3 linked regions of the Nothobranchius furzeri genome follow. The protein of the gene in region 1 purifies or fractionates together with the protein of each later gene. This does not show direct contact. Links are inferred from orthologs where the notes say so. Each region holds a gene or a part of one and is shown in the gene's direction. Other genes may lie near its edges. The genes, in order: strn3, mink1 and cct3.

Region 1 (10,326 bases):
CTTGAACACAGAGCAGGTGCGCTAGTGTTAGCCTACTCCTCCACGTGGAAACGCATCAGAAATGTGATGGGACAGATGGACGTATTGTCCCAGAGCGCTGAGCTAATTATAAACAGCAGCAGCAGGAGGACACTCTTGACCTCTGAGGTCACACTACACATATAGGCTGTTTGTATTCTTGGTTTTCCAGTTTATTCCTTAACATTTTCAAAAGAGAAGCTAAAACCACCACATTCTTTTATGTTTACACTGAAATGGAAAGTGAATGTAAAGAACAGAAATGATGCTGATTAAAGTCCATTTTGAGATCAAACACCTGTGGATTTGAACCTTGCACTGCTGTGGTCTCTGAATCTGACGAGTCCTAATCCATAATGTAAACAATTCACTGTTGAATACTTAGAGAGAGCAGCTTTTGTCCAAACAGGAGTTCTGCACCACTTAGGAGCTACGAGGCTAAAACTAGCTCGATCATTAGCTAGCTGCTGATGTGGGCCAGCCCCTCTTGCTGATGCCAGCCAGTGTTAGCCGCTAGCTACTTGGACTGCTAACTGATTAGAGTTATAAGCAGTGGTTTGATAAAAAAAAAAACAGCCAGCGCGTCAGTTTGAGATTAAACGTCCCAGAAACTCATCTAAAGTTGTTTAAAATAGTCATCAGTTTCAGGTCCGTGAAATAAGAACTTCTGATGTGACTTAAATGTTCATCGAGGCTCTGACTTGTTTACAGTTTGTTTTTGTGTCTCCAGGCCAGGATAGCGTTCCTGCAGGGAGAAAGAAGGGGCCAGGAGAACCTGAAGAACGACCTGGTCAGAAGAATAAAGATGTTGGAATATGCTTTAAAGCAGGAAAGGTGAGATTCATGCATTCGTTTAATCTGCATTAACTTCTGACTCAGAACAGCTGCTGATGCAGCTGATCTACCTGTCAGCAGGTGTTAACCAATCCCGAGCCAGCTGTGTTAGCTTTAGCTTGTTCTGATGTGTTTTTTGTGTTTACTCAGTAACAGGTGAGCTAGCTTTTAACAGTCACAAAGTTATAGTATAAAATGAACTCAAAACTTCAGATTTCTAAAACTACTTTCAAAAGTACATTACAATAAAAGTAAATGTAACTAAGTACTTTACAGTTGTGGTTTTCCTCCTGCTGTGAGGAGTCTGCTCCTCTTTAAAGTAAAGTAATGGGATTTCTTTTTGCATGCTCCTCTCAGAGCAAAGTACCACAAGTTAAAATATGGAACAGAGTTGAACCAGGGTGAGGTGAGGATGCCGAGCTTCGAGTCAGGTAGGTGATGCACAAAGCGGCCTTCACAGGTGAGTCCCGGTGGGACCTTCATTTACTCAGCAGGTCTTTGTTTTCTCTGCAGACATCAAAGAGTCGGATGTCTCTGCTGTTCCTGCCAACAGTCAGCTCATGTGGAAACAAGGACGACAGCTTCTTAGACAGTAAGACAGCTTTAGGATGGAGATCAGATCTGGAGTTAGTCTGGGGACTAACAGATCTGTGTGTGTGTGTGTGTGTGTGTGCACATTAGCAACTGATAGTAAAGCATATTGGAGGCTTAAACGGCTCTATATGAGTGGACCATTTTAATTCACTAATCTATTATAACCAAATCCTCCTTGTTCTTTGAATTATTTAAAGGGTGCATTTTTCTTCAGACTTCATTGCTGGCTTACTTTGAAGTCTGCTGTGTGTTCCAGGTACCTACAGGAAGTGGGTTACACAGACACGATACTGGACGTCCGCACTCAGCAGGTCCGCTCTCTGCTCGGCCTGTCGGGTTCAGAGCAGAATGGATCTGTTGAGAACAAGAATCTGCAGCACCTGATCAACGGGACGGAGCGATGCAAAGAGCCCAAGAGGTATACACAGAGCTCTAGTTCTTTGACTGTGTAGAAGCTTTTCTCCTTCACTGTGATTGTGCTAATCTACCTTCTGTTTCCATTAGATTTATTAGAAAGTGATCTGGGTGCAGGGTAGAGGCAGGCCCAGTAGGGGGCAGTAATTTTGTGATTTACCCACTGACATGTGCAGGCCTCTGCCCCCATGGGCGTTGCACCCGTGGGGGATGTGGGGGATTCAACACCCACACTTTTCCAGCCGTTTTGCTCACCTCCACACCAGTCTGGTTTCTCGCACTCACTCTGTTTGCCTCTTCTCCTTCTTCCCCTCCCTCTTCTGTTTCTCCAAACAGGAGAGAGAGGGAGGGAAGAGCCCGACTGAATTCATAATTTTACATCGTGACATTAGCTGTACAAACTCTCAGTTTGATAAAGTGAGGAACAACAATTTGCAGAGGTTTATAACAGGCGCGGTGCCAGGTTTTCATTTTTGGGTGGGCCACGGTAATTTTGGATGGACCTTAATAAGCAGTGACTTAAGTGAAGCAGGATGGTCGCGCTAGAAAATTTCATTTAAAAAGACGTCATAAATGTTTTCCCCCGTCATTTTAATTTCTAAAATATGAAGTAAAAACTCCCAATTTAATTTTCATTCATTTTTCATTTATAGGCACCAGAACCTCCACTTCTAATATTTACCTCTCAACGTAGGACTCTTTCATAAGGGTACATGCACACCGGTAGTTTTTACGGTTATTCATGGGCAAAATCTCTGACAAATGGGCCATTCCCATCTGTACCGGGTCGGCCCGGGCCGGGTAGCCCCAGTCGGCCCCAGCCTGGCCCGGTTGATTCCACACATCCTTGTCTTAAGCCCATGTGGGCTGATTCTACCCACCAATCAGAGGCTTGCTCTAATGGAAGGTGTGAATTTGCTGTCAGCAGTGGGTGTGTTGGCCCTGGTCGGCCTGAAGCAGACCCCCTCGAGAAGAGGGCTGAGAATGAGCCTTGGTTGGCCCGGAAAAATACCAGGCCACCCAGATATGTAAACAACCTACGCTACCCGGCCCGGGCCGACCCGGTACAGATGGTAATGGCACAATTTTTGAGAAAAAAAATCCATCTTCCAGTAAAAGCAAAGCATCCAGCCCACCTCTCCAAATGCGTAAAATGTGCATCACAGCCGCTAGGCGCGCTGCGCGCACCGTCAGCTACGTCAGCCCAGACAAGAGCAGAGCAAATAGAGAAATAATAGAGGATAATTGTGTCTGGATGTGGATGGAGATTACATTTTACAGCAGCCTGATCATCATTTAAATACGTAAACCATCACCTGTCCTCTAGTCCACGCTATCAGCATTATTTTAATTTGTGTGTGTGTGTGTGTGTGTGTGTGTGTGTGTGTGTGTGTGTGTGTGCGTGCGTGCGTGCGTGCGTGCGTGTGTGTGTGTGTGTTTTCCACATCAAACACTGGTCTAATCAACCAGACCAGCATGTCCAGTAACATATTAATGTTACAATTAAACAGTTTCACTTCATGTAGGCTAGGAACATTTCACCTGCCGTGGCCCGACCGCTTCTGCTCCACATAAACTTTGTGCGTGATCAAATGTCTCTACGCGTCATGCGTCTCCATATTAGACACGGGAACAAGCGCTGTTCAGCCTAAGTTTCATAATTTCATAAAAAGAACATTTTTCCAAGTGACACATCCCTCAGAGAGACCGGGTTTCCAGACCGCTTCAGTGGGAGGAAATCTTACCGCATGCGCCGTGGTTCTGCACTGCGCTGCAAACCCCTCTACAGATCTTCAGCTCACTGTCCACCGTGGGCGCTCCGAGCCGCGCTGAGCACAGTGTCCAGTATAAAGCTCTGATGTTCTGATGGGAATCATTTCTTGATTGATTTAGTTACCTCCGCGATGTGCGTAACGATTAAAATGTCAGCTCATCTGTGTGTGCATCAGTGTGCGTCGGGGTAATTCTTTCAAAACAACCAACATCCTTGAGTTTATCTGTCAAAATAAACAGTCAAATGGAAATATCTGTAACCTGCCATTTTACTGTTTTGCCTTCTTGTGAAGATTGTTGCAAAGAGAAACAACTAAACTTGATTAACCCCAGAGCCATGCACACTGCACTGTACTGACTGTAAAATGAGGGGGAAACGATTTAATTGGATCCTTTTCTCTTCAACATGGTTTAATGTAAAGTTTCATTCAGTACAACCTTTAGTTATACCAATCTAACGAGACAGAGCCTTTATTTGTATTCTGAACAGTTTAAACATGTTTAAAACGGAGACATGCGTGACACGTCTAAAATTCGCACCTGCTCCGCTGTTATGGAAATTAAGCTAACAAGATGAATAACATGAAATTATTTTGGGCACAGACAACATCCCCCACACTTTTGAAAAGCTTGAATGTGCCTGTCTGCCCCCACTGTTGATGGGTTGAATCTAGGGCTGGGAGATGTGGCTTCAAATCAGTATCACAGCATGATGAGCAGTTCACATTAAAAACGATGAATGGACGATAATTACCCGTATGCGCAAATACAAAAGTTGTCCACTAGATGGGGCTGTGGCAACATAATCGCTCCACAGCTGGTTTTATTGATGGTAATATTCCCCCACATCTATTCATAGTATGAATAGATGTGGGGGAATAATCAATATTTACTATGAATTTCATAGTAATTATTAATTAATTGCTACTTAAAAATAATGCGCAACTAAGTACTTAAGTAATTTGAGTTGTCAGGTAGTCAGGTTCTCTATAGAGTGGTTGTACTGAATGTTACGTCCTTTATTGGACAAAGCTGATCTTGTCATCTTGCTAACCAGGCTTAAACAATGGGTAGGGATCTCAGGGATTGCTCTGGAGTGGCAGGGGTCTTATCTAACTAGGATGTTGTATGAAGATTGGTAAAGCTCCATCTTACCTCATCTGAGGAGTGCCGCAAGGTTCCATCCTCAGACCCCTTTTATTTACCCTTTACCTGCTTGACATTTCAGAAGTATAAGCTGAGTTTTCATCTACATGCTGACTGTTGTTAAAGCTATTGCCCCATGAAACTGGGATAAAATGGTGCTTTTAAGATTATCCTGGCATGTCTGGAGGAGGTAAATATTTGGCTGGCTTACAGTTTTCTGAGTTTAATGAAAATAAAACAGAGGCCATTGTCTTGCTGCTGTTTTTACAGATTAAACTAAAGACACAGGAACAGACTGTGTTGCTACTTAGGAACCAAAAGACACAATTTTATATACAAATCTGCATCATCCCTTGAGCTATGTGGCCTTTGAAAGACTTCCAGAAGGTCTGAAGAAATGAAGATGGACCTGTTGCCAATCTAGATGGAGTAATGATGTAGTTTTCTTCTGAGACATGGGTTGGGCCTCCATAGAGGGTCACGAATAACGGGTGGGGACCGGAGAAGATCTCCAGAAATCTAAAACATCAAATCATTATTCCTAAAAGCATATTTGTTTAGAAATCTGAAGTTCCCATAATATTCAGGGTTTTGGTAAAGTTCAACCAGTGGTTTTTGGGCTTTCAGGTTGTGGAATGGTGCAAACACATTGAATAGAATAGGATAGACTATTGATCCCACAGAGGGGAAATTCTCTTGTTACTGCAGTATAAACACTTAAGAGAATACTATGAAGAAAAATAATAACAAAGGTACATGTATACACACATAGGCAGTAAGCTAGTATTGTAACCTTCAACCACTAAAAACCACAAATAAAAATGAAAAACTTGGTTCCAGAACCATGCAGCATACTGTAAGGGATGCAGACATACTAAGTTCATCTGGTTTTGCACAAGTATTGAACACATACTGAGTATTGCATTGATGCTTTTGTGTACCAGGATAATACCAGTACAGCTTAAACTGAGGAGTTCTACACTCTTACTGCAGAGGGGATGAATGACCCACAGAAGCGTTCTGTTTTACATCTGGGATGTCTCAGTCTATCTCTGAAGGAGCTGTCCATGGTCTCCAGAGTGGACGTGTGTGTGAACCACATGTGTGTTTGTGTGCAGAATTCCAACTGACAACTTGGAGACGTTCAACTTCTTGGAGAACACAGAGGACAGTGATGAAGATGATGATGAGGAGGGAGACCTAATGGACGACATCACTACGGACAAACACCATCGAGCTAAAAAACATAAAATAAATGTATGTGAAGAGAAACTGTGACTTAGCACCATTTCCCTCCTGTACTCCATTCTCCTGGAACTTTTTTTTCTGCTCTCATGGTCGACCAGGTAGGAAACGAGGGCTTAGCAACAGAGGATGACGCAGACACGGAGGAAGCTTTGAAGGAGTTTGATTTCTTGGTGACGGCAGAGGATGGAGAGGGGGCGGGGGAAGCCCGCAGCTCTGGTGATGGGACAGAGTGGGGTGAGATAGTCATCACACGTTAGCCAGCCAATGATCAAATGCAGAAATAAAACATGACGCATGTCTGAATGTTGGTGTCTGGACGTTTTGGACACAAGTGAATTTATCTGAGTCTCTCTGCAGCAGAGCCTCTACCCTTTTCCACTGCTGGGGGAAAGTCCTTCTTACTGGGGGGGTCTGATGATGTTCTGGAAAGCGTGCTGGGTTTGGGGGACCTTGCTGACCTCACCGTCGCCAACGATGAGGTGGACTTTGGCTACGATGTGAGGAAATGAAACTCAGTGGAACTCTGTCTGAATTCCTGATAAATGAGCTCACTCTGGTTTTGTCCTCAGCTCTCCTCCAGTAAAGAGTCTTCCTTCAGGAAGACCTGGAACCCCAAGTACACGTTACGGAGCCACTTTGATGGGGTCCGAGGGTTGGCGTTCCACCCTGTGGAGCCCTGCCTGGTCACAGTGTCTGAAGACCACACGCTCAAACTGTGGAACCTCACCAAGACCGTCCCAGCCAAAAAGTATGTGTTCTGATTTCTGGGCCCTCACTGGGTACAGGAGCTGCATCAGCTCAGGGTGTTGGTGGCTTTTAGTCGTTCCTGTGATCTTCTCTCACCTACACGACGTCGTCAGACACAGGTCCTCTGAGCTCACCAGGGACACTTCAGCTTTCTTTTACTCAGAAAAAAACTACAAATGAAAAACACAATGAGACACTAGGAACCAGGTGAGAACATTCAGACTGCTGATTCGTTAGATATTCCAGGGGCGTGGCTTCCAGACATATATACAGTTAGCAGGTTGTGTGTTATGATCAGATAAGGAGTTTGTAAAATGCTCGGAAGCTTTCAGGATTGATGTTTATTTAGAACACCAATAACAGGTGTGATGACATTCTGTGTTCCAGAAGTGCCTCGTTCGACGTGGAACCGGTCTACACCTTCAGGGGTCACATGTATGTATCAGAACCAATGTGGAACATTAACATGTCACGTCTCCTTTTAACACATCAGATTCCAACTGTAGACATGTTTTATTAACCACATTTAGTTGTTTTAGAGATCATTTTTCAGATTCCCCCCCCCCGAGGGGGCCGGGCACCCCTAGCTCCCCCATAATTTAAGTCCTGTTTGTAACCAACTCTGTAGCTACTATTATCAAAATAAAGAGTATAAAGTAAAGATATAATTAGCCCAAGTTAGAGATAAATCTGAAGGCTTGTTATAGTTTTGTGACGTGTCTTTTTAGTGGTCCGGTGCTGTCGTTGGCGATGACCTCCAGTGGCGAACAGTGTTTCAGTGGTGGCATCGACTCCACAATCCAGTGGTGGAACATCCCCAGCTCCAACGTTGACCCTTACGATACCTACGGTACTTCCTGGTCTAATCACAGTCCTCACTTCTCACTTTCATAAAAGGTGTTTTTTGCCTTTAGCTGCAGGAGGGCTGGCGATGTGGACCCAAATGGTTAAAGGAGGTTTGGCTCATCTTTTCACACAAACAGGAGAAACAAAACTTGTCAGTCATGGTGAAACGGCTCTCCAAAACAATCAGAGACGCATCAGAGACATAGAAACAACAAGCTAGCAGTAGCAGTGACTGCTGACTGCAGAAAGTCACTGGTTCTATATTCATATTGATTTAAACTTGATTGGTTATTCTTGTGTCTTGTTTGAAAATATATGGATGTGTATTAAAAACGTGATATCTTGTCCATTTGTAAGGTGCAGGCTATGACACCCCCACAGTGGCGGACCTAGGATTATTCTGAGCATGGGGCCATAATTTTTATAGAGGGGGGCCAAGTGTTAGTCAAACATCCTTACACAAGGTTTCACTCTGGAAAACTATTTGGCTCATTAACGCCACTGGTGTTTGGAATCGGAATTGCGTCTACTTATAAAAATTGTGGAAAGGACGGATGAGTGACAGGGCAGGGGCACTTGAGGACGCCAATCGGATTTCTGCAGGGGCCAGTGCCTCTCTGATCCCTCTCCTACAACTGTCAACCCCCCCTCCACATCTTCTCCTGATGTTCTGCTGTGTTTTCCAGATTCCAGCGTGATGGCCGGGTCCTGGGTGGGTCACACAGATGCCGTGTGGGGATTGGCCTACAGTGGCATTAAGAACCGCCTCCTGTCCTGCTCAGCTGATGGGACTGTGAAGCTCTGGAACGCAGCAGAGAAAGAACCCTGCATCAGCACTTTCAACACCAATAAGGGTGAGTCTAGACTCTAGAGAGCCTTGTTGTTATTTTCAGAACCAGGCCATCAGGTATTTGCTACTGAAGGTCTTCGCTCTCTGCCATGTTGCTTTCTGGTCAGAGTTCTGTTGGGTCTGCTCTCCCGACTAGCAGAACATCGGTTACTAGTTTCCTTCACTCAGAGCAGCTCTGTCAGATAGGTCAGGGTTTTTCTTCATGTGTCTTCTGCAGAACACGGAATCCCCACGTCGGTGGATTTCAACGGCTGTGATCCCGCCCACATGGTGGTTTCTTTCAACGGTGGAGATGTGGTGGTGTACGACCTGGAGACTTCCCAGATTGCACTGGTCCTAAAGGGCCAGGGTGACAGCAGTAAGGACACGCACACGCACGCGCGCGCGTGCACACACACACACACCATTATCATGGGGTTGCAAGGTGGTAACTGTAGTGGTTCTCTCCTCTGCCAGCCCTCCCTTGTCTGAATCATATCAACAGGGTGGTGAGCCATCCCACGCTGCCCGTCACCATCACCGCTCATGAGGATCGAAACATCAAGTTCTTTGATAACAAGTCAGGTGTGTGTGTGGTTCTAGTTCTTTAATTGGACACTGGGCTGGATGTGTCTGGAGTCGGGGTTTCTGCAGATTGAACTCATCCATCTGAGTCATTTATTTCCCCTTTGTGACGTCTCCCGCAGGTAAAGTGATCCACGCCATGGTGGCTCACCTGGATGCAGTGACCAGTCTGGCTGTAGATCCAAACGGCATCTACCTGATCTCCGGCAGTAAGTCACTTCCTACTGGACCTGACCACCAGACCAGTATTACATCTGCTGATCTGGAACCAGCCAGTGCTTTTCAAAACCCACTTTTACTCCTTTAACAAGTAGAGCTGGACACACATCTTTTTTAATGGTTTTTATTTTCTAATTCTGTCTTTTTGAGTTTATTCCTTTTATTACCTGCTTTTGTTTGCTTTGGGGGGCTGCGGTGGGGGTAGTAATGGTGTTCCCTGTAACAGGATGCCGGGTGGAGTCAGTAGAAGATTTTCTGTAACCACCTGAGTTCTTTTAAAACTCTTTTTCTGGACTTTTTTTGTGCCGATTCTTGAATTTCAGACGTTCTTCTGGTCATCTCTGTAGGTCACGACTGCTCTCTGCGTCTGTGGAACCTGGACAGTAAGACTTGTGTACAGGAGATAACGGCTCACAGGAAGAAGAGCGAGGAAGCCATCTACGATGTGACCTTTCACCCTTCCAAGGCTTACATTGCCTCTGCTGGAGCTGACGCCCTCGCCAGAGTCTACGTGTAAAGGAGGAAGAGAAGAAGAAGAGTTGGAGTAGAGTGGGTTCGTCTGGTCTCTCCCAGCCAGCGTTCAGGTTTCTGAACTCAGAATGTAAACCCGCAAAATCAGGAGGGGAGGTTCTCCATCAGATCAGGATTGCACCGACACGCACACGAGTGTGAGCACAGACCGCTGAAGGGGCGGAGCTTCCATCAACTGATAACACAAAACACTTTAAGACGGTTACACCTGCAGAAGAAGAGCTCACCTGACCTCTGACCCCAGTGTTCCCACCCCCGGTTCAGCATCCAGAAGGTTTAAAGTACCACCCCCCCATAGAGAGACAGGTGGAAGCTTCTCCTGCGGCATCATGGGATTGTTGGGTGGGCAGGTCGTACTAAAACATCACGATGAGACTGTCGTTGGAACGACCTGCAGCAGCTTTAGTGATGCATTTGGTTCCACAACATCCTGGAGGTCTGTTGCCATGGCGATCTGTTCAGTGCTTTAGGCTTTCTATTAAAAAAAACAAGTGTGAACTTCAGAGTTCTGAGTTCCTTTGAGTCTGTGAGTGAAGAATCAG
Region 2 (10,426 bases), on another chromosome or scaffold:
ACCAGACACGGAGAAAACTGAGGGGAAAATGGCTGTAAGTTCAGCAAACTTCCCACAGGAGAAACGAACCACCATAAATCTGGTCATGTGGTAAGTAGCAGCTACTTTGTGGACAGGAGATTATGTGGTGATGTCACATATGCGACGTGCTGATTTTTAGTTTGTAGTCATGCAAATGACAAAGTTTTACAAGCTAATAAATCTCAAAGTGTGTGACAGGCATGGTCAAAACACCCATCATTAGTTTTCATTTAAATTGCAGAACAACATATGTGTGATGCAGGGCGTAAGGCAAAGCAGATTAGAAAATAGCGTTTTTAGCCCTGTTGACTTGCATTCATGGTTTTCGTTCTTCCGGGGACCTGTGATGCGGATGTGACTCCCTATAGAGTCACTTCCTGCTTCCTGTTCACAAATCCCGTGTGATGTTATGACTATCGTGTGACTTTCCAAGAAGTGCTCAGCTTTTTTTTTTCACTCATCTTTATTGATAAAATTGTACCATCAACAAAATTGTATAAAACAGTGAGGGACATTTAAAGCATAGTTCAAAATGAAATGGTCAATGAAACACATCGAGTGAACAATAAGCGAACAAAATAAAAAAGAACTGAATATAACATGAACACACACACTAGGGGGAAAGTTAACAGACCAATAAACCAAACAGTTTAAACAGAAAACCCATACCTCTACATTGCTTTAGATAATATTTTACCATGAATGATTCATAAATTAAATGTAGACCATTCAACTAACGTTTTTAAGGCTTTTTAATTAGAAGAATCTCTGATGGAGGAAACATATTGTCTCAGCTTGTCTTGAAAGCTAATAAAAATTGGCTTTCTACTTGTAACCTTACACTTGTGAAAATGGAATTTAGCCAGCAATATTATAAGATTAATAATATATATTTTTAGAATTCTCAATTTTTTTTTATTTACAAAATGCCCAAACAATACATCTCTCCAATATAATTTTAAGTCTGGATCAATCTTGATACATATAAAATCATTGATCTTCAGCCAAAATTGTTTGATAACCTGACAATTCCAAAACAGATGTACAATAGTTTCTGGAAAGTTATTACAAAAACAGCAATTCACTTCAATGTCTTTCTTAAACCTGAATTTTATGAAGGGGTTAACAGGGTAAATTCTATGTGTAATTTTAAAGGAAACTTCTTTGACTTTATTTGTAATAAGAAACTGGTCAGGTAAGAGCCAGACATTTTTCGATAATAACTCAGGTACAAATTTATTCCAATATGAATGGGCATGCCTATGTGCAAATATTTTGTTGGAATAATGCTCTAATTATTTTATTATTATTTGTGGATGGAGTTGAGAAACACCTCTTGCCAACATAGGTGTGTAATGGAGACATCACAGCTGGTTGTAAGCTACATCTAGAGAGGGATTTAAATAACATGCATATTCCAGCTGGGATTGCCATAACCACATTTGCATATTCATCTGGAGAAACAGGAACACCATATTTATTCAAAAACTCTTCATATGTATAAAGAAGGCCTTCATTACCAAGCAATTGATCTACCAAAACAATACCACTGTTAAACAAGTTTTCTAAAAAGATGTTCTTTTTTTGTACAGAATGTCCCTGTTACTCCAGATGAAGTATTTATGAGGGCTGAAGTTGTGCTTGTAAATCTGACTTCATGCCAAGAATGCCTGGCGGTGAAAAGCACTTAATTTTAACCCTTTGGTGCATAGTGGTCACTACAGTGGACAGGTACTCAAAATTGTTATTTATTTGTTTTTGCTATTAAGCACAGCTGTTGAAGACTTTATTGCATTTGAGCCCCTCCATTTGGACTTCAGTAAGTCAAGCCAACATATTTCATGTCAGAATGCACGCTGTCCACTGAGATGGACGTGTAATAAATTATTTGTAAATTATAAAATTTTACAAAAAATGTTTGTTGAAATTTGTTTCATTCACACCTAAAGACAAATGAAAAAAATTGTTTAAAAATCATGGTTGAAGATTTCATAATTCATGCACCAAAGGGTTAAGGGAATTTTATCAATATTAAAGTTACAGACCATAAAAAAATGAATACCGCCTACTTTAGAAAAAAACATGTTGAGGGATAGCATTCCAAATTGAGGCTGGATTTTTGATCAAGTGTTTGAACCAGTTTATCTTAAAAGTGTTATGCAGCGTTTCAAAGTTTAGGAAATTGAACTCTCCATTTTCATAGGAATTCATGAGTATTGTCTTACGTAACTGGTGTGACTTATTTTTCCTTACAAAATTTAGTAAAATCTTTTCAGTTTCCTGTAGGTGTTTCTGATCAAGATGGTGAGGGAAGAAACGCTCAGCTGCGCCTCCTGTGTGACCAACTTCCCAAAACAGCGGTGTGGTGCGTCTGTCTCCAGTGTGCCCCAAGCTTAAGGCTAGGTAAAAAGTTAGTTCATGCAAACACCATGTCTTCTATCTGCAGCATCACAAGTGCAAATTTCCTTGCTCAATCATATCTAGATAAAAAATGTAATTTATGGAAGTTTTTCTAATTGGTGTTCACATAAACCACAATTAAAGTCAGGATGACAAACTGAAAAATTAGTTACTACTGGCTCTGCTGTGATTAGTCAGTGGCTCATCAACCTGGTCAGAACTCATTTTGATTTCTCCAAACTCCTAGAGCGATCTAAAACAGATATTAACTGTTAACAACCTTTCCACAGAAACCATTAAAGAAATCCAAACCCTCCCTTCAGCTTTATTTCACAAAGAATATATTTATCTGAGGTTTTGCAATGCAACCACAGTTATTATCCTCCATCAAATTATTATTTTGGAATCTTGGTGGACAGCTTTAGAAATGATCCATGCATTATTTATTATAAAAGCCTTATGATCTGCTGAAAACAAAGTATGCTGTAATGGGAAAAATAGCCACAGCATTTATGACCTGTTGAGCAAATTCGAGATTGAAAGAAATGGTGAACCGAGGATACTTAGATGTGCTGCTGAAGTTTTTGGCAGCATTTGGAGTAATAAAACTTCAGCAGAAGAGTTTATGTTTTTAGACAGAACTGACAGAGCTGCAGAGCTGCTGGGGCCCACAGTAAATCTGTTCTGAGGTGATTTGTCCCTGCTGAGGCGCCGTATCCCTTGAAGAGCAGAAAACACTTGAGGAGTGTTTGTGTGCAGTCAGTACAAACCCACAGGACTACATGAAGGCTGGAGTGGGAGGGAGGACAGGAGGCAAAACATGGCGAAGTAACAAGTTTTGCTCTTATCGGCAGGTAGAAACTGCACCACATATTTCACCATTGGACTACGTTTTTTTTTTACCAATTTGGACACCGGAGAAGGACAGCAACGGTCAACTTTAAACGAGCTGATTTATCTAGCCTATGAGTTAATGGTGGCTGTCGTGAACATTTGCTGTGTTTCCCCCGGAAGGTTGGCAGAGCTAGGCGCGACTGTCAACACCGCAAATGGATTAAGAGGGAAAGTTTTATTTATTTATTTTTTTATTGTTTTGGGAAAAAATACAGTTTAGCTTGCTAGCTTAGCAGCGTTAGCGCGAGGATCGTATGTGCACACCTGAGTCGGGTTGTTCCGATTACTTTGGGCTCGGGTAAAAAAACTGGCAAATAACAACTTTGAGCAAAAGGGAACTGTATTTCCAACGAGGCATTTATTGTAAAATATCCGCTCTTAAGTAACTGTGGCGGCACATCCATGTAAGGCTAATAATGACAGCCTGACGATCGGTTCTGGTGCGGACGGACCCGGACGCCATCATATCAGACGTTGTGTTCTTCTTAAAAGCAACCATTGCGTTTCAATGGCGTAAATGTCTCATACTCTGTCAGCACAGTTAATGTTCCAGCGGGACATTATCTGGTATTGTTTCTCTCTCTGCGTGTGTTTGTGTATTAAATGTAACATTAGCTGGGATGTTTTTCAGCAGCAGAGACGCAGCGTCTTGTCAAAATGAACGCAGTAAGGTGTTCAACAACAGCGGAGGTGCATTCTGCCAGTTGTTAGATTAGCGTTTATGACCAACCAGCTGGCACGCTAACAAATACAAACAAACAAACAAACAAACAAAAACATTTAAACTGAGCTTATTTTGTTTATTTTTATCTGCAGATTATTCTGTAAAACTCCTGCGGATAACACCACAGCTGTCGGCCAGAGTTGATGTGAGCTAGCCAGCTGGGTGCGTCTGTGACGGTCTTTCCTTGTGATGGATGTGCTAATGTAATTGTTCCGCAGCAGCTTCAGTTCGTTTAAAGATCCGGTTCACTAATTGGTCTCTGTAGATTCGGCCGCTATAACCTCGTGATTAGCCACGGATTTTCTCCCCAAAGTTCTCCTTGTTGAATAAGAGTGGCTTACTTGTTGGTTAACGTCATAAGTTTTCTAAGCTATGTCTGAAAACGCCCCCACACGAAGCCTGGACGACATCGACCTCGCAGCTCTGAGGGTGAGTATTATCATTATTACTGCGAGATAAGTGTGCAGCAATTTGTAAAATCACCGCAGACAGACTCTTTTAGGTGTTATGTCATCTGAGTTTTCCTCTGACACAAGCACTACCTAGTACAGCCCACGCAACGAAGTTGAGGTGAAATAAACACCCCCCGGCCCCTGTGTTGTAGGCAGTTGTGCGGTTTAAAATCACAGATATTTGCAGAAAATGTCATCTGATTTCTGTATCTGGAGAAACAAACATCCCTGGCACATTTTTCTCATGACAGTCTTGGTCTTTCCGGTCTAAAATGCTCTATCATGTCAGTGTGATTGCTGTGAGGTAATCTCTTTTGAATCACATCAACAGTAAATGTTATGGTATTTAATGGGTCAGGTTGAACTACAATTTGCAATCATTCTTCCACGTGTTACTTCTTTAAATATTACAGGTTTGATGGCTCTTAAATCTAGTTGTTTTTTAAATTATTATTAATCTGAGATTTTCAGTCAAAAATTGAAATTAGCAAATTATTATTCGCCTGGTGTTAATTTGGAAAATGCTGCCTGGATTTTCAAACTAGTTTTTCTGCTGCAGGCAGGAAATGAACAATGTGAATACAAAACCTAGAAAAGTGTAAACACTTGATGCAAACTCTGTTAAAAAGATGATTGGTTTTTAAAGGATCTGGAGTAGAAATTAAGATTATTTAGTATTAAGGTTGTAATTCAATTGTTTATGGGTTAGGGTTAACCTATCCTATTAATAAATATTATATGTTTTGTGAAACAATATGCATCACTAGAAAAATTTTAGGAAATTACAAATTCACTAACATAATCAAATTAAGACTAAAAATGTGCATTTGATTGAATGCAAATGGATATTTTTTGTCTCCAATCAGAACATTTTGTATCATTTTAGCTTCTTGTAATACTAAACTCTGTAATACTGTGTCAACAAGTCTTTATGCAGTGGAAATGGTACTGTTGGGGTAGGCAATCCTGGTCCTTGAGTGCCTCTATCCATTGTTGTTGTTTTCCTGTTCCAACACACCTGGTTTTAATCAGTAGGTGAATATAAAGCCTAAAAATCTGGGGTGTTTCTCAATGTCAAGGAACCTCATCTTGATGCATTTGTCCCACCCCGGTTGCCTAGGAGATATGTCATCATGTAGTCCTTTTATTTCTATTTCTGTTTGTTTTGTTTATGAATAAGATGACTATGTATATTTTGTCAGTCATTTTGATGTCTGACCAAATCAGCCCACCGCTGGTGTTCCTGCAGTTTCATTTTGAACACCATCAGTCCCATTTGCTTGTATTTTATTGTGAGGTTTCTTTTTTTATTTTATCTAGATCTTCTTGGCTAGCACCCACAAAATACAAGTGTGAAAGTGTTCTTGTGATTTTGGAAACTGACTACTTAAATGTGCCTTGTAGAGGCCTTGTGTTTGATCAAAAATAAAAGTTTGGTTTTCTCTTTAATTCTCAAACGAAGTCGTGTTTGTGTTTTTAAAGTCTTGCAAAAATATTTAAAAGTAAGTCTTTGTGCAACATGATCAGAAGCAGATCTTACCATTTCACAGTCAAAAACCATGCTTGTCATGTAGTATTTTGTTGGCACTTCCCATCATGTAGGCTATTGCCATGACATGTGAAATAATTTGTGTGTGTGTGTGTGTGTGTATGCGTGCGTGTGTGCACCCACCTGCGTGCATGCCTGCCTGTCTATTCCTTTCTTGTCTGCAACAATAAAATGCCTTTGACGCTCAAAAGAGACATTTTAAAGTTCTTCTGGGAGGAGACGAGATCGTCTCAGTGGCTTAATTATTGCATCTTTGAGAAAATATTGCAGCAAAATGCTGAAGGGCTCCAGCGTTGCATAACAAACTACTGCACACAGATATCAACAAATTATTTGGACCAAAACACTTGATTCAAATGCCAGTAGCACTACAAAAGCATGTCTTCTGCAGATTGGCATTTATTTCTGCTGGAATTGTAGATAATACTATTAGAACTGAGAAAAAATCCAAATAATAGCATGCTTGTGCTAGTGTCTGGAATTGGAGATTTTATGTCTTATCTTCCTATTTAGGCGAACACCTTTGAGTATAAAAATAACGTTGGATGATGATCAGCAGATATAACCAGCCCTCTAGAAATGAAACCCATGAGAAATGTATTCTTGTGATTTTTATTTTGATGAACTCAAGAGTGCTGCTGTTTTAAAATGCGGGTAGTTGTAAAATCATGTCAAAGTGGAAAAACTCAAACTGGCCTCTATAGGCTTAAACCAGTGGATGCTAAATTTGTGTCATCATTTTCAAAGACACTCAAATTTCAAAAAATTTATTTCCAAAATGGAGACATTTCTTTTTTATATTCATAAGTTTTGGGCTGTGTTTTTGGTTGATAGCTGCAGCTTTTTAACCACAGCCATGTCATTTTATTTTATTTTTTTTTTTGTTCCTTTTCCTGAAAGACTTCCCGTGTCAGCAGAGTTAGCACCCTTGCAGGAAATGTGGTATCAACTTCCCCTTGGACCTTAACAAGTGTCTTTCAGCTCATGTTGCTTTTTGAACATCAAAGCTTAATATTTGTGTGGGTAAACTATTGTTTATTAGCATTTGTTGTAGTCTTTATTAGATGACACTTTGACATATCTTACATGTGCATTGGTTTGTGTTTGAGCTGGCTAACTGCAGATTTCTTCTCCTCTAACAGAATAATTTTCCTGCCTTTTTTGTGATAATTGGACCTTGTTTGGCTGTATGTTGTGGATGTTTCTCTTTGACTGTAACTGTACCCTTCCCCTTGTTTCAGCTCATTCTTCTCTTCCCACTCTCTGTGCTGGATGTGGGTGAAGCTACCGCCTCTGCTTCTCCACCCACTCAATCATTACATTATTCCCTTCCATACCATCATTCTCTTGCATCCTGTTTCACATCACTGTTGCTCCTCCTTTGTGTCCTTATGCATAACCTGCCTATAAATCTGTCCGTTATGTTTGTCATCAACTGTCTGCTTTTTCGTCTACTATCGTATCATTTCCTGCATTCCTTGTCCTGAAAGAAAATCTTTATTTTGAAGGCTGAACATAGATGACTGGAAATAGATGAAAGCGGGATAGGTCATGGTGTACATTCTAAACCCAAGGCAGCAGTCTCACCACCCACACACCTTCTTAAAGCCATATTGAAATTACATGAAAGTGGAACTGCTTCTGTAGAGGGAGAGGGGGGGTTGCATATTTAGTCAGAGCAACCTACTTGTTATTAGTGTCAGTGAAATGTGTGTTCAGCGCATTGAAAGATAATCTGAACAAATTAAGAGGAAGGCTGAAGTTCTAGTTGGAATCCATACTTGTGAATCTGAGAATCAATGTTTTGTGCTGTTTAATGTCAGATTATGTGGGTGGGTAGGAAGATGAAGTTCAGATGGTTAATAAATGAAAATGAGTATTGAGTTTGATTGCTTTAATGATGTACAATGTGGAATCATTGGGGTTATTTCTTGCTTTGTGAGATGTTTGGCTCAAAAATGTTTTGACATTGTGGGAGGAGTTTAAGGGCTTCTTCAAATCTGGTGTAGCCCTCACGTTATTTTTATCAGTCTAACAATTAGTGATTTTAGATCTGTTTGAATTACCTGGCGAAACAACTGAAGCCAGGTTGCAGAACAGATAAGAACAGGTGCAGTTCAGTAGCATTTTATTATCTGATGGAGACTGTCGGCTGAAGAAATGTGAGCTTAACAACTCGACGCACAGCCTTGTCATTGAAGGGTACACGTGGAAAAACAAAGCAAATAAACTGTAAAATAAATGGCGCGCTTTGTGTTTAGTGTTTGTTCCATTTTAAATTCACTTGTGTAGAAAATACAAATGGTGTGTGCTTTGGGCTATATTTGGTGTAAAATAATTGAATCTCTTTCTTTCTTAGGATCCAGCAGGAATCTTCGAGCTGGTTGAGGTTGTTGGTAATGGCACATATGGGCAGGTGTACAAGGTGAGCTGTTAATCCTCCGTGATCCATATAAAGTCTAATCTTTGTCTTAATGTAATTAGCCATCTCTCCTTAAGAAGCTGAAACTTGTCAACATAACCTTCTTTAGTGCCGGTGTTCCGACTATCCGTGCTCCTCGTCGAAATGTGCTACTTTGGGGAAATGTGCATGCGCAGCGCATGCCGATTATTGCGTCACCGGCTGTTTACAAGTCGAGACGCGCTACCTGTGGAAGTTTACGTTTAATCTCGTCACTTATCTACACTCAACAAAAATATAAACGCAACACTTTAGTTTCTGCTCCGATTTTTCATGAGATGGACTTAAAGATCTAAAATTCATTCCAGATGCACAATATCACCATTTCTCTCAAACATTTTTCACAAATCAGTCTAAATGTGACAGTGAGCACCTGTGCTTTGCTGAGATAATCCATCCCACCTCACAGGTGTGCCACATCATGATGCTGATCTGACATCATGAGTAGTGCACAGGTGTACCTTATACTGCCGTTGCGTTTATATTTTGAGTGTAGTTACTTACTGTGACCTTCAAGTTGAAAGTATTTCTTTAAGTTGTTTTATTAAATTACTGCTTGCTGTATGTTTACCTGACAGTTGGCTTGTAAATGGCTTCTAAAATATCGGTATTATACTGTAAACAAGAAATTTCTCCCATTGTGTACAGTCATTCTGAAAGAGTCCCAAATTAATATCCAAAAGTTTTCTATTATACATATAATAAATTTATCATAGTTGTATAATAATCTCAAATTATACATTCAAACAAATAACTATAAGTATTGACGGAAAGCATATTTGTTCTATGTGGATTAATTTGTCTAATAAAGGATTAGGTAGAGAAATAGAATGGTAAGAGCTAACGTCTTACAAATCTCCATTTTTATGAATCACTCTCTCGACATGGGTGAAAGTAGTTGGTAAATTGTCATTGTTCATGGAATATTCAAATGTTTTTAGCAACTAAGGGGTTAATTTTAATGAAATGACTAAACAGCTTCTTACACTATCCACTTTTTTTTCATAATAACAGTAGCTACCGATTTTCAGTAAACCTGGACAGACTGAATCAGCTGTTGAAATGCGCGTTGGTAGGAAAATTCGACGATGAAGCACGGATAGTCAGAACACTGGTTCTTTTGTGATGTATTAAATCCCCTGATTATATAAGCTGCAGCCTGTTGCTGTGTCAGTAGATTTTTAAGCTATCTGAATGAGGAGAGTTAAAATGGTGACAACTAAATGGTTCAAAACACCTCAGAATAAAATGTTAAACAGCAAAAAAAGGATGTGATTTAGCAATTAGCCATACTTGATTCTGTGAAACAAGCTACAACAAAAAAGCTGGATGATATAGAGAAAAGCATATAAAACAAAAATGATATATTGAACAATATCAATAATTATTGGTAAGTATAGAACAGGTATGAAATATATCTTAAGTGCAGCCCTGGCCCTTTTATGTCATTACTTTATAATAAAACTAGTTGTTTGTGTTACCAGACTCACACTCCTGGTGATCTACTGTACCTTCTTTATGGGAAAATTTCCTCCGCCTCTCCTTGCTGTGACATCTCCGTTTTGGCTTCAGAGAGGAGGAGAGGAGGGCTTGGTGATGGAGCGTGTGCTTTAGATTGGTTGGGAATAAGCCATGACTCTGGTATTAAGCTGTCCGATCGGCTGTATGATGAAAAAAGAAAGGAAACTTCATTAAAGTTTTTATTGACTTCTTTTTTTCCTGTTGAACCACACGTCTATCGATGGATTCATATCGATATTGAATTATTGTCCAGCCCGACTTCATAGTGAATACCGTTAGCATGTTACAAGTAGTTTTATTTATTTTATCAGGGCCGTCACGTGAAGACAGGCCAACTGGCTGCCATCAAAGTGATGGATGTTACAGAGGAGGAAGAAGAGGAGATCAAAGCAGAGATCAACATG
Region 3 (10,426 bases), on another chromosome or scaffold:
GTGTGGTCACTGCAAGAAATTAGCTCCAGAGTTTCAGAAAGCAGCTAGGCAACTGAAGGGGACTGTTCAGTTCGCAAAGGTAATAACATGAGTATGCATGCACAGTAGGGATGCACTGATACAAATTTTTTTGGGCCAATACCAATTGTTGCAGATACCGATATGTATATACGCGCCGACATTTATGCTTCTGGAATCAGCAAATTATGTATAGACAGAAAATTATGCTAGCAGAAATTTTTAATGTTTTGCTTTATTTCTATAAAGTGGAATTTGCAATTTATTATTATATACACACGACACACATTTATGCTTCTGAGATGATTATCATGATTGTCATCACTGTCACAGGACTGAATGTCGTTCCCCCCCCCCCCCCCCCCCCCAGATACACAAATAGAAACAAGATTGAAAAATCATTGGTTGTCAATATCGGCCCACTTTTACTTTTCGGACCGATACCGATTTGTTAAAAGATGACTAACATCGGCTGATACCAATATATTGTGCATCCCCAATTATCATTGTAAACAAACATCACACCTGACCAGTGTGTCTCACCTGTCTGCCAGGTGGACTGTACAGCACACACCGTAACCTGTGGTCGATTTGGGGTCACGGGGTATCCCACTCTGAAGATCTTCAGGTACGGAAAGGACTCTGCACCCTACGATGGACCTCGAACTGCAAGTAAAAAATAAATAATAGAAAAAAAATTGGTTAAAATGTCATGAAGTCAATAATAATGAATATGTAAATATCTTTGTGAATTCAGATGGAATCTATAACTACATGATGAAACAAACTGGTCCAGACTCGGTTCATTTAAAGTCTAAAGAAGACCTCCAGACCTTTGTCAAAAACTACGACGCAAGCATTGTTGGTATGACTGATGTACAGCGTGGGACTTTGTCGCTTAGCTTTGTTCATAAACAATGAAGACTTTATACATTTTTTTTAATCACGCGTGTTATTGAATTGATGTTGTGTGTGTGTGTGTCTCAGGTGTTTTCTCAGATAGTGACAGCTCCCATCTAGCTGAGTTCCTGAAAGCTGCTGGTCTGTTGAGAGGACAGTTCAGATTTGCTCACATCACTGATCTGCAAATTGCTGAGGAGCATGCTAACGCTGAGTGAGTGCACAAAGATACGCCACAAGACTACAAAAGGTGTTTAACATGTTACTGTGAGTTATCTACGCTTTCACAGGAGTGTGTTGCTGTTCAGACCTCCTAGACTGTCCAACACTTTTGAGGGCAGTGTCGTTGTCTTCAAAGATTACCTGACTATTAGCTCCCTGAGACGCTTCATCAGAGATCACATGTGAGACTCTTTTTTTTATTTCATTGAATGCATATGAAGGACAGTAAAGAAGCCAATGTCTCACAGTTTCACTCCATCTGTGTGTACAGATATGGAATGTGTCCTCACATGACGCTGGAGACCCGAGATCGTCTGAGAGTTCGTGACCTCTTGACGGCGTATTATGACTTGGATTATCATCACAACGTTAGAGGGTCCAACTACTGGAGGAACAGGTAGCATACAAACATACAGGTGGCAGGTGGTTGAGTGTGTGGACAGGAAATGTGTGTTTAGATCTCTTTGCTGTATGTCCTGTCACCAGGGTGATGAAGGTGGCATCTAAATACACTGGGCGTGGTTTAATGTTCTCAGTAGCCAATAAAAAGGACTTCCAAGCTGAGCTGGAGGACGAATATGGTCTGGGAACATCAGATGGAGGAGAGCTCCCGTTTGTCACAATCCGGACCAAACTGGGACACAAATATGTCATGAGGGAAGAATTCACGTAGGTTTTAGGGTCAAACGGGGCTAAACGTCCATTGAAATGCTTTTATTCATTAATTTTCTCTTGCAGGGTATCCGCGGGTCCTTAAATTTACTTTTCCAAAGGCCTTGAAAATCTTTAAAAATGACAAATAATCCTTAAATACAGTTTCCAAAGGTCTTAAATTACCAAAGACCCAATAAACTAGATTATTTTATTTCTATGACATTTTCGTGAATTTCAGCATTTTTTGTGTACGATACTGGCGTAAGCGGAACCGTACACATTCAGTTGGTTGTGAAAGGGGACTATTTTTAGATGAGCACGTTAGCTGGTTAAGCTAGTGGGAGCTTGCGCCATGGAGAAGTGCAAGTTTAATGGTAACTGGATGGCTAATCCCATGTTTGCGACGTGGTTAGCACCGGTTCCAGGCAATAGCTAGAAATTATAGCTTAAAATTAATTTAAAAAATAGCTTCAATTTGGATCTGGATCGAAAGGAGCCAGTTGAGGTGGTTTGGGCATCTGGTCAGGATGCCTCCTGGACGCCTCCCTGGGGAGGTGTTTCAGGCTTGTCCTGCCGGCAGGAGGCCCCCGAGTTGACCCAGGACACGTTGGAGAGGTTACATCTCCAATCTGGTCCGGGAACGCCTTGGGATCCTGCCGGAGGAGCTGGTGGAGGTGGCCGGGGAGAGGATGGTCTGGTGCTCCCTAGTTGGGATGCTGCCCCCGTGACCCGGACCCGGATAAGTGGAGGAAGACGACGACAAGCTTAAATTTGGTCAAAGTGGCCTTAAAAAGGTCTTAAAAAGTCTTAAATTTGGCTCCCTTAAACCTGCAGATACCCTGTCTTGAAAATGCTGCTCACATTGCATGAATGACAGCTGGTCAGTCTTCAGGATACTAAAAGTTGACTGGTGTGTTTCAGGAGGGATGGTCAGTCACTGGGGAGGTTCCTTGAAGATTATTTTGCCGGTCGTCTCAAACGTTACATAAAATCAGAACCTTTACCTGAGAAAAACACGGCTCCTGTTAAGGTGAGCTGAGCTGCTTGTGAGCGTGACTGATTGTAAATACTGATTGTAAAAAATTTGTGCTGACCTCCTTTTGTCTTCAACACCGCAGGTGGTTGTCGCAGAATCATTTGATGAAATCGTGAACGATCCTGCTAAAGATGTTCTGATTCAGTTTTTTTCCCCGCTATGTCCACACTGCAAGAAGCTGGAGCCGGTCTACAGAGAGCTGGCTGACACGGTACACAGCTTTATTGTATTTTTGATTAAGTTTCAGTGCACTAAACTCTAGAATTAGGTCGTGTTGCTCTGATAGTAATCTGAAAATGCTCTTTATGTGTTCTCAGTTGCATTCTGACCCAAACATTGTCATTGCCAAGATGAACGCCGTCTATAATGACATCCCACTGGGATACGATGTCCAAGGGTGAGGATGACGATGTTGATGAGCACTTTTAAAGAAGAAAATTCATGAGTCTTTATTTCCTATGATTTTATTCTTCTCTCCAGGTTTCCAACCATCTATTTTGCTCCAGTGGGTAAAAAGGATGAGCCCATTCGATACCAGGTACCAAGTTTTAATAGTTTCAGCTTGAGTTCATCAATCTTTGAGACACATGATGTCTAATGGTTGTGGGACATCTTGATTTCAGGGCACTCGAGAGCTCAAAGACTTCCTAAAGTTCCTGAAGAGTGAGGCGAGTCATGGTCTGGTGCTGACTGGGTTTAAGGACGAACTGTGACAAAGATTCACCTACTGATCAGAACTGACTTTGATTAACAAAAAGATCAAGTCTTGTAACAGCTACACAGACATGAATGGGCAGCAAGAGCTCTGCTCCTGGTGACACACCAGAAACAACGAATCAGGACATGGTCCACCCATTTTTGTTTCTACCAATCAGATTCTTTCCATACTCCCCTCTAAAACCATGTCCTTGCTGAATAGAACTATTTATATATTTATTCATTTATAAAGCCATTTCATGTGCAATTCTTTGTTTTTTTATTCCAGAAAACTAAATGCATTTTGATATAATACCATCTGTGCAGTTTGTATTTGGTGCTGTGTTTAGTTTTTATTTATTTATTTATTTATTGACTTAATTACTTATACTTTGGCAGTCTTTGGTTATTTTGTGAGCTTTGTTATGTTGAGAAGCTCTGCTGAGATTATGTAATAAAACCATGCTTGACAACTGACTGTTAATTAAATTCTCATGAATTAATACGCCTTAATAGCTTTTGTAAAATTGTTTTCAGCCGTTGTTTTTATGATGGGATTTAAAAAGAAATTTAATTTTTAAATTATACTTCAGTGTGCCTGAGTTTGCTCAACCATTATTTCCATGCCTGTGTGTTGTAATAAAGCTTAATAATAATAGCTGGGATCAACTGAACAAACTTTGCAAGTTCCACGAGTGTTAAAACACATAAAAGTCATTTTCAATCTTCGTAAAAAAAATTTTTTTTTTTTTTTGCTAAATCGTTGTGGGTTCTATTTCTATTAGGTTTTCTCCATAAAAGGCCTATTACTAGAAGAGTTTACCTCATTCACTCTATTGGTGAATGCGCATGTCAATCAAAAATAATAGTCTTTGCTAATTGGCCGGACCTCAAGTAATGTCTTGCCCATTTTGTCTGAGCCGTCCCTCTCCTCGTGCCACCCAGAACCTTCGAGGCTAGTGCTGTTAGCGTCGTGGTCTCAAAATGCTCGGCCAGCAGGTTTTAGTGCTTAGTAAGTATCGAAATTTGTTCTTAACTATACTTTCAATAGTTAGATGTCGGTTACTTCCCGCCAGTTTCTGCAATTTAGTCAATTTTGTGACCGTTTGAACGCGGGGCAGATCGGCTGGGACACAAAGCAGCTAAGGATGCGCTAACCAACTGTTATAACTCAGCCGAGCATCAGCTTCTTCCACCGGTATTAGCATTGTTAGCCTACATGCTACTGATAGCATCCACACCCAACCGGCATCATTAGCATATTTAGCTCGTGTTCGGAAGTAGCGGAAAGCGTGTAGGTATGCTAGGCTAGGCTAGCTTAAGCTAACAGTCCTCTTACTCATCATGAGCGTGCAGTTAGACAACTGCGAACATTATATAATAATTAAAAAAGACATGAAATTACCTTTGATGCAGCTATTAAACACGATTTTGAATTAGTTTTGTGTGTGCGCTGTGACTGAACTGAACAACAAAATAAGCATCCGCTTTAATACATTCCGATTTCGATTGATCTATTTGATAGCCTGTAATTGCGAATTGACAGCATTGTTATCCTGCAAAAATCAAAATTCATTCATTCATAGTGTCTGAAATCACGAAAGCTCTATCTGTACTGGTATATTCCGTCCATTTTGTCTTTACAATTATTTTAGACTAGAATAGATAGCTCCCTCAGTGGGGGGATTTTGGTGTCACAGCAGCAATTAAATTCATTATAGGAGCTAAAAAGAAGAGTATAACATAATAAAAAAATTACGACAACAAAAAAATTATTTAAATATTCGAAACACTCATTTTATTTGGAATGCAATAAGAAAATGTTTTATTTAGCTGTATAGATATTACTAGTTTAATGATACAATCCAACAAAATTGATTTTAAATAAAGATGCAACAACTCAGTTAGTAAGGAGAATAATTTACTACAAAGGATTCTAGTCATAGATGCACTTTGGCCTACGTGACTGGTAAATCATATTCATTAATTTTGAAGCATTTTAACAGTGTTGGACATTTGTCAAAAATGATCTGTCACATATTTATACACAGCTGTTTTTATTGATTTTTTTTAATGTAATGTGTTGGTTTGTTATCGATCTGGCAGGCATGGGATTGCTAACCATACTGATAAATTACTTCTTTAAAACCAACAATTTCGAATTGCTAGTCATTTAATTGGGTCACTCGAAATAATGGCTATCTGTGTTTTGAAGCAAAAACACCCTTCAATTAGGTGACTCTGTAGTGATTTCTCTGTTTTCTTGTCTCTTTTTAGACCAGAATGTGAAGAGAGAATCAGGACGTAAAGTCCAAACTGGAAACATCAATGCAGCAAAGGTCAGTTGTTGCTGTAAAACGTTAAAGCTTGTGTTAGACAGTCTCATCTGTCTTTTGAGTGCGGAAGAAAACTGTTTAATGTTTGAGATTAGCCAATCTAGGCTGTTTTTTTGTTTTTAATATGGAGACGTTGAGTAGCTGGGAAAGAAAAGGCCAGACTAGAGTAGAAATTCCTCTTAATAGACTGAGATCAGTCTCTGAAGAGAAAAATGCTTCATTTGTTTTAAAATTGTTTTATTCCCCCAGCCCTTACATATATTGTTCTTGTGCAATCTATTTTAGACCATAGCCGATGTGATCAGGACCTGCCTCGGCCCACGGGCCATGATGAAGGTGAGTTTGTCTATACAGAGAATCACCGCACCCAGTCATTTACAAAAATAAAATAAGTCCGTAATATTCCATGTTTTCATGTCATTTTGTCTAGATGTTGCTTGACCCTACAGGAGGAATCGTAATGACAAACGATGGAAATGCCATCCTCCGAGAGGTCAGGGTCACATAAACACTTGGAAGTTTGTCACTTCATCAATTCCTTCAGTGTTTCATAACATCCTGCTTCTCCATGGCAACAGATTCAGGTACAGCATCCCGCAGCCAAGTCGATGATCGAGATCAGTCGCACACAGGATGAAGAGGTGGGAGATGGGACCACATCAGTCATCATACTGGGTATAAAAGCTTTATTTTTAATCTAAAGAAGCTCAGACTTCCCCTTTAGAGGGAATTCAGTTTGTTTTATTTAACATCCGTCATTTAATGTCTCAAATTTCAGCTGGAGAGATGTTGGCTGTAGCTGAACAGTTTCTGGAGCAGCAGATGCATCCAACAGTGATCATCAGTGCTTACAGACAGGCTCTGGAGGACATGTTGGACACACTGAAGGAAATCAGGTAGAGTCTGACAGTTTCCATCGCCTCCTTGTTACATTATAATTATTTTTGATTTGTTGTAAGCCAACCAAACAGCAGCTTAGAAATAACATTACACATTTATGAATGAGTTAATTTTGTGAAACTTGTACAGGAAGTTTGACTGAATATTGTTGTCCTCCTCCAGCATCCCCGTGGACACTTCAGACCGCTCCATGATGCTGAAGATTGTTCACTCTGCCATCAACACCAAAGCTCTGAGCCGCTGGTCGGAGCTGGCCTGCAACATCGCGCTGGACGCCGTTCGTACGGTGGAGCTGGAAGAGAACGGGCGCAAAGAGATTGACATCAAGAAGTACGCCAAAGTAGAGAAGGTACGACTGTTGCTCATTACACCTGATCACTTTAGGTTAGAACAGAAGATCAAGTGTTTCCTGCATTAATTGCATTCATTCTTTTGTCTCACATCTCCCGTGTTGTGTTCAGGTTCCAGGTGGAATCATCGAGGATTCCTGTGTGCTGAAAGGAGTGATGGTGAACAAAGATGTGACTCACCCAAGAATGAGGCGAATGATCAAAAATCCCCGTATCCTCCTGCTGGACTGTTCTCTGGAGTACAAAAAGGGGGAGAGCCAGGTATAGTGAGCTGCTTCTTTGTCTTAGAACATAACCAGATTATATAAATCAGTATTTAACTCACATTTATTCTACAGACAGACATAGAGATAACTAAGGAGGAGGACTTTGCCAAGATCCTACAGCTGGAGGAAGAATACATCCATCAGATCTGTGAGGACATCATCCGCCTCAAACCAGACTTGGTCTTCACTGAAAAGGGCATTTCAGGTACCTGAACAACTTTTGGTGTTTTTCTCTGTTGTTCAGTCTTTGCATTACAAAGGCAGCTTAAAAAGAACTGTTATTCAGTCCTAACTCTTCTTTACTCGTTCAGATCTGGCTCAGCACTACTTGGTGAAGGCAAACATCACTGCCATTCGCCGTGTGAGGAAGACTGACAACAACCGCATTGCCAGGTATATTTGTTTGTTACGCAGAGAACTTTAACCAAGTCAGTCCTACTCTGACATAGCTTTATACGCTTGCTGTGTTTTTCAGGGCGTGTGGAGCTCGAATTGTGAGCCGAACAGACGAACTGCGTGAGGAAGATATTGGTTTGAAGGCCGGGCTGTTTGAAGTAAAGAAGATCGGAGATGAGTATTTCACTTTTGTCACAGAGTGTAAAGATCCCAAGGCCTGCACTATCCTGTTGAGAGGAGCCAGCAAGGAGATCCTGGCGGTGAGTTTCCCCATCTTCTAAATCAGTCCGGTTAATATGTGCTTTGTGTAAGGACGTTTGTGTTCTGCAGGAGGTGGAGAGGAACCTGCAGGATGCCATGCAGGTGTGCCGTAACGTGCTACTCGACCCATTCCTGCTTCCTGGCGGCGGCGCTGTTGAGATGGCGGTGTCGAAGCGTTTGACAGAGCGTTCCCGCGCTTTGACGGGGGTCGAACAGTGGCCGTATCGCGCTGTGGCCCAGGCTCTGGAGGTCATCCCCCGAACCCTGATCCAGAACTGTGGAGCCTCTACTATTCGAGTTCTAACATCACTCAGAGTAACGACAAATTTTATTTTTGAGACCTGGAGCTTTTGGTTAGAGTTGAGCTACTGATTGGTTAACACAGGCATTTAACATTAATGTTTCTTTGTTTGTTTGTTCAGGCCAAACACACTCAGGACAACAGTGTGAGCTGGGGCGTTGATGGAGAAACCGGCTCTCTGTCTGACATGACAGCTCTTGGCATCTGGGAGCCACTAGCTGTTAAAGCTCAGACCTACAAGACTGCTGTTGAGGTCCGAACCGTTCTCAAATCTGATCTGATCAATAATATTGTTTTTTTTTTTTTGTTTTTTTTTTTATTTAACCTTTATTTATCCAGATGAGTCGATTGAGAAATCATTCTCATTTACAACGAAGATCTGGCCAAGAGGCAGCAGCAACAGACACATAGTTGCTAATATCTGTTTACAGTTTTTATCATTTTTCTGTGTTTTGCAGACGGCCATCTTGTTGCTACGTATTGATGATATTGTCTCCGGGCACAAGAAGAAAGACAAAGGAGAGCAGATGGGAGGACAAGGAGCCGAATAGGTCTAAGTAGATCCAGGCTGAGCAGCAGAGTTACTCCGACTGTTTGTATCTAAATGTGTGTGTTTGCATGTGTGGAGACCACCTGACTCACTCAAACATAATAAAAACAAAGTTAGAAAGCTTGACTCGTTCCTCTGATTTCATTAATTCATATTTTTGTCTGACCACGCAATGTTGCAGAGACGTGTCAACCACGACAGCCCTACAACATCCATAGCCTTGAGATACCCAGGACGAATCTCATCTGCCCATGGGGCTCCGCCGCTGTGTAGTTGTTTGACGACCTCAGCAACTTCTGCCCCCGAGATTGGACAGTCCATCCCCAGGTCTCCCGGCTCTGGTTCCTCCTCGGAATGTGCATAGGTGGTATTGAGGAGCTCCTCAAAGTATTCCTTCCACCGTCCGACTATAGCCCCAGTTGACGTCAGCAGCTCCCCATCCCCACTGTAAACAGTGTGAGCGAGTTGCTGCCTTCCTCTCCTGAGGCGCCGGACAGTTTGCCAGAACCTCTTTGGAGCCAATCGATAACCTTTCTCCATGGCCTCACCAAACTTCTCCCACGCCCGAGATTTTGCCTCGGCAACTGCCACTGCTGCACCCCGCTTAGCTATCCGGTACCTGTCTGCTGCCTCCGGAGACCCACAGACCAGCCACACCCTGTAGGCCTCCTTCTTCAGCCTGACGGCTCCCCGAACCTCTGGTGTCCACCAGCGGGTACGGGGGTTGCCACCACGACTGGCACCGGCCACCTTGCGACCACAGCTAGCAACAGCCGCCTCAACAATCGCAGAATGGAACAAGGCCCATTCAGAGTCAATGTCCCCCACTGCTCTCGGGACGCGGTCAAAGCTCTGCCGGAGGGGGGAGTTGAAGACCGTCTTGACAGGTTCTTCTGCCAGGCGTTCCCAGCAGACCCTCACTATGCGTTTGGGTCTGCCAGGTCTACGTGGCATCTTCCCCTGCCATCTGATCCAACTCACCACCAGGTGGTGATCAGTTGACAGCTCTGCTCTCTTCACTCGGGTGTCCAAAACATACGGCCGCAGGTCCGATGATACGACTACAAAGTCTATCATCGACCTGCAACCTAGGCTGCCCTGGTACCAAGTGTACCGATGGGCATCCTTATGTTCGAACATGGTGTTTGTTATGGCCAAACTGCGGCTTGCACAGAAGTCCAATAACGAAACACCACTCGAGTTCAGATCAGGCTCCCAAGTTCCTCCCAATCACACCCCTCCAGGTCATGCTGTCATTGCCCACGTGAGCATTGAAGTCCCCCAGCAGGACAATGGAGTCCCCTGATGGAGCACTATCTAGCACTCGTCCCAGGGACTCCAAAAAGGGTGGGTACTCTGAACTGATATTTGGCCCATAAGCACAAACAACAGTCAGGACTCGTTCCCCGACCCGAAGGCGCAGGGAGCTACCCTCTCGCCCCCCGGGGTAAACCCCAACACACAGTGGTCATCGGGGGCAGTTCCTGTGGCAGACCGGGGAGGTGGTCCCCATCTTTAAGAAGGGTGACCTGAGGGCGTG

Evidence for each region.
Region 2: the proteins of strn3 (region 1) and mink1 purify together in Homo sapiens (affinity purification with mass spectrometry; 3 studies listed by BioGRID and IntAct, with this or other methods). This does not show direct contact. The link is inferred for Nothobranchius furzeri from reciprocal best matches to the Homo sapiens genes STRN3 and MINK1.
Region 3: the proteins of strn3 (region 1) and cct3 purify together in Homo sapiens (affinity purification with mass spectrometry; 3 studies listed by BioGRID and IntAct, with this or other methods). This does not show direct contact. The link is inferred for Nothobranchius furzeri from reciprocal best matches to the Homo sapiens genes STRN3 and CCT3.

What each region holds. Positions count from the first base shown.
Region 1 is NC_091758.1:17,984,953-17,995,278, forward strand, and holds part of strn3 (striatin-3), read left to right. Parts: intron 1-748; coding exon 749-852; intron 853-1,209; coding exon 1,210-1,283; intron 1,284-1,365; coding exon 1,366-1,444; intron 1,445-1,702; coding exon 1,703-1,864; intron 1,865-5,897; coding exon 5,898-6,036; intron 6,037-6,125; coding exon 6,126-6,261; intron 6,262-6,384; coding exon 6,385-6,524; intron 6,525-6,596; coding exon 6,597-6,775; intron 6,776-7,161; coding exon 7,162-7,209; intron 7,210-7,502; coding exon 7,503-7,624; intron 7,625-8,306; coding exon 8,307-8,474; intron 8,475-8,687; coding exon 8,688-8,828; intron 8,829-8,926; coding exon 8,927-9,034; intron 9,035-9,156; coding exon 9,157-9,243; intron 9,244-9,600; coding exon 9,601-9,770; 3' UTR 9,771-10,326. UniProt on the Homo sapiens protein: Calmodulin-binding scaffolding protein which is the center of the striatin-interacting phosphatase and kinase (STRIPAK) complexes.
Region 2 is NC_091750.1:48,030,218-48,040,643, reverse strand, and holds the start of mink1 (misshapen-like kinase 1), read left to right. Parts: upstream 1-4,179; 5' UTR 4,180-4,411; coding exon 4,412-4,468; intron 4,469-8,399; coding exon 8,400-8,465; intron 8,466-10,333; coding exon 10,334-10,426. UniProt on the Homo sapiens protein: Serine/threonine kinase which acts as a negative regulator of Ras-related Rap2-mediated signal transduction to control neuronal structure and AMPA receptor trafficking.
Region 3 is NC_091759.1:9,427,673-9,438,098, reverse strand, and holds cct3 (T-complex protein 1 subunit gamma), read left to right. Parts: upstream 1-4,407; 5' UTR 4,408-4,510; coding exon 4,511-4,538; intron 4,539-5,803; coding exon 5,804-5,865; intron 5,866-6,147; coding exon 6,148-6,198; intron 6,199-6,292; coding exon 6,293-6,355; intron 6,356-6,440; coding exon 6,441-6,537; intron 6,538-6,640; coding exon 6,641-6,758; intron 6,759-6,924; coding exon 6,925-7,111; intron 7,112-7,223; coding exon 7,224-7,373; intron 7,374-7,450; coding exon 7,451-7,583; intron 7,584-7,689; coding exon 7,690-7,771; intron 7,772-7,853; coding exon 7,854-8,034; intron 8,035-8,104; coding exon 8,105-8,350; intron 8,351-8,457; coding exon 8,458-8,589; intron 8,590-8,794; coding exon 8,795-8,887; 3' UTR 8,888-9,012; downstream 9,013-10,426. Other genes in the region: pdia8 (protein disulfide-isomerase A3), read left to right, coding at 1-79, 573-690, 776-883, 1,006-1,132, 1,209-1,322, 1,412-1,537, 1,627-1,809, 2,716-2,824 and 4 more. UniProt on the Homo sapiens protein: Component of the chaperonin-containing T-complex (TRiC), a molecular chaperone complex that assists the folding of actin, tubulin and other proteins upon ATP hydrolysis.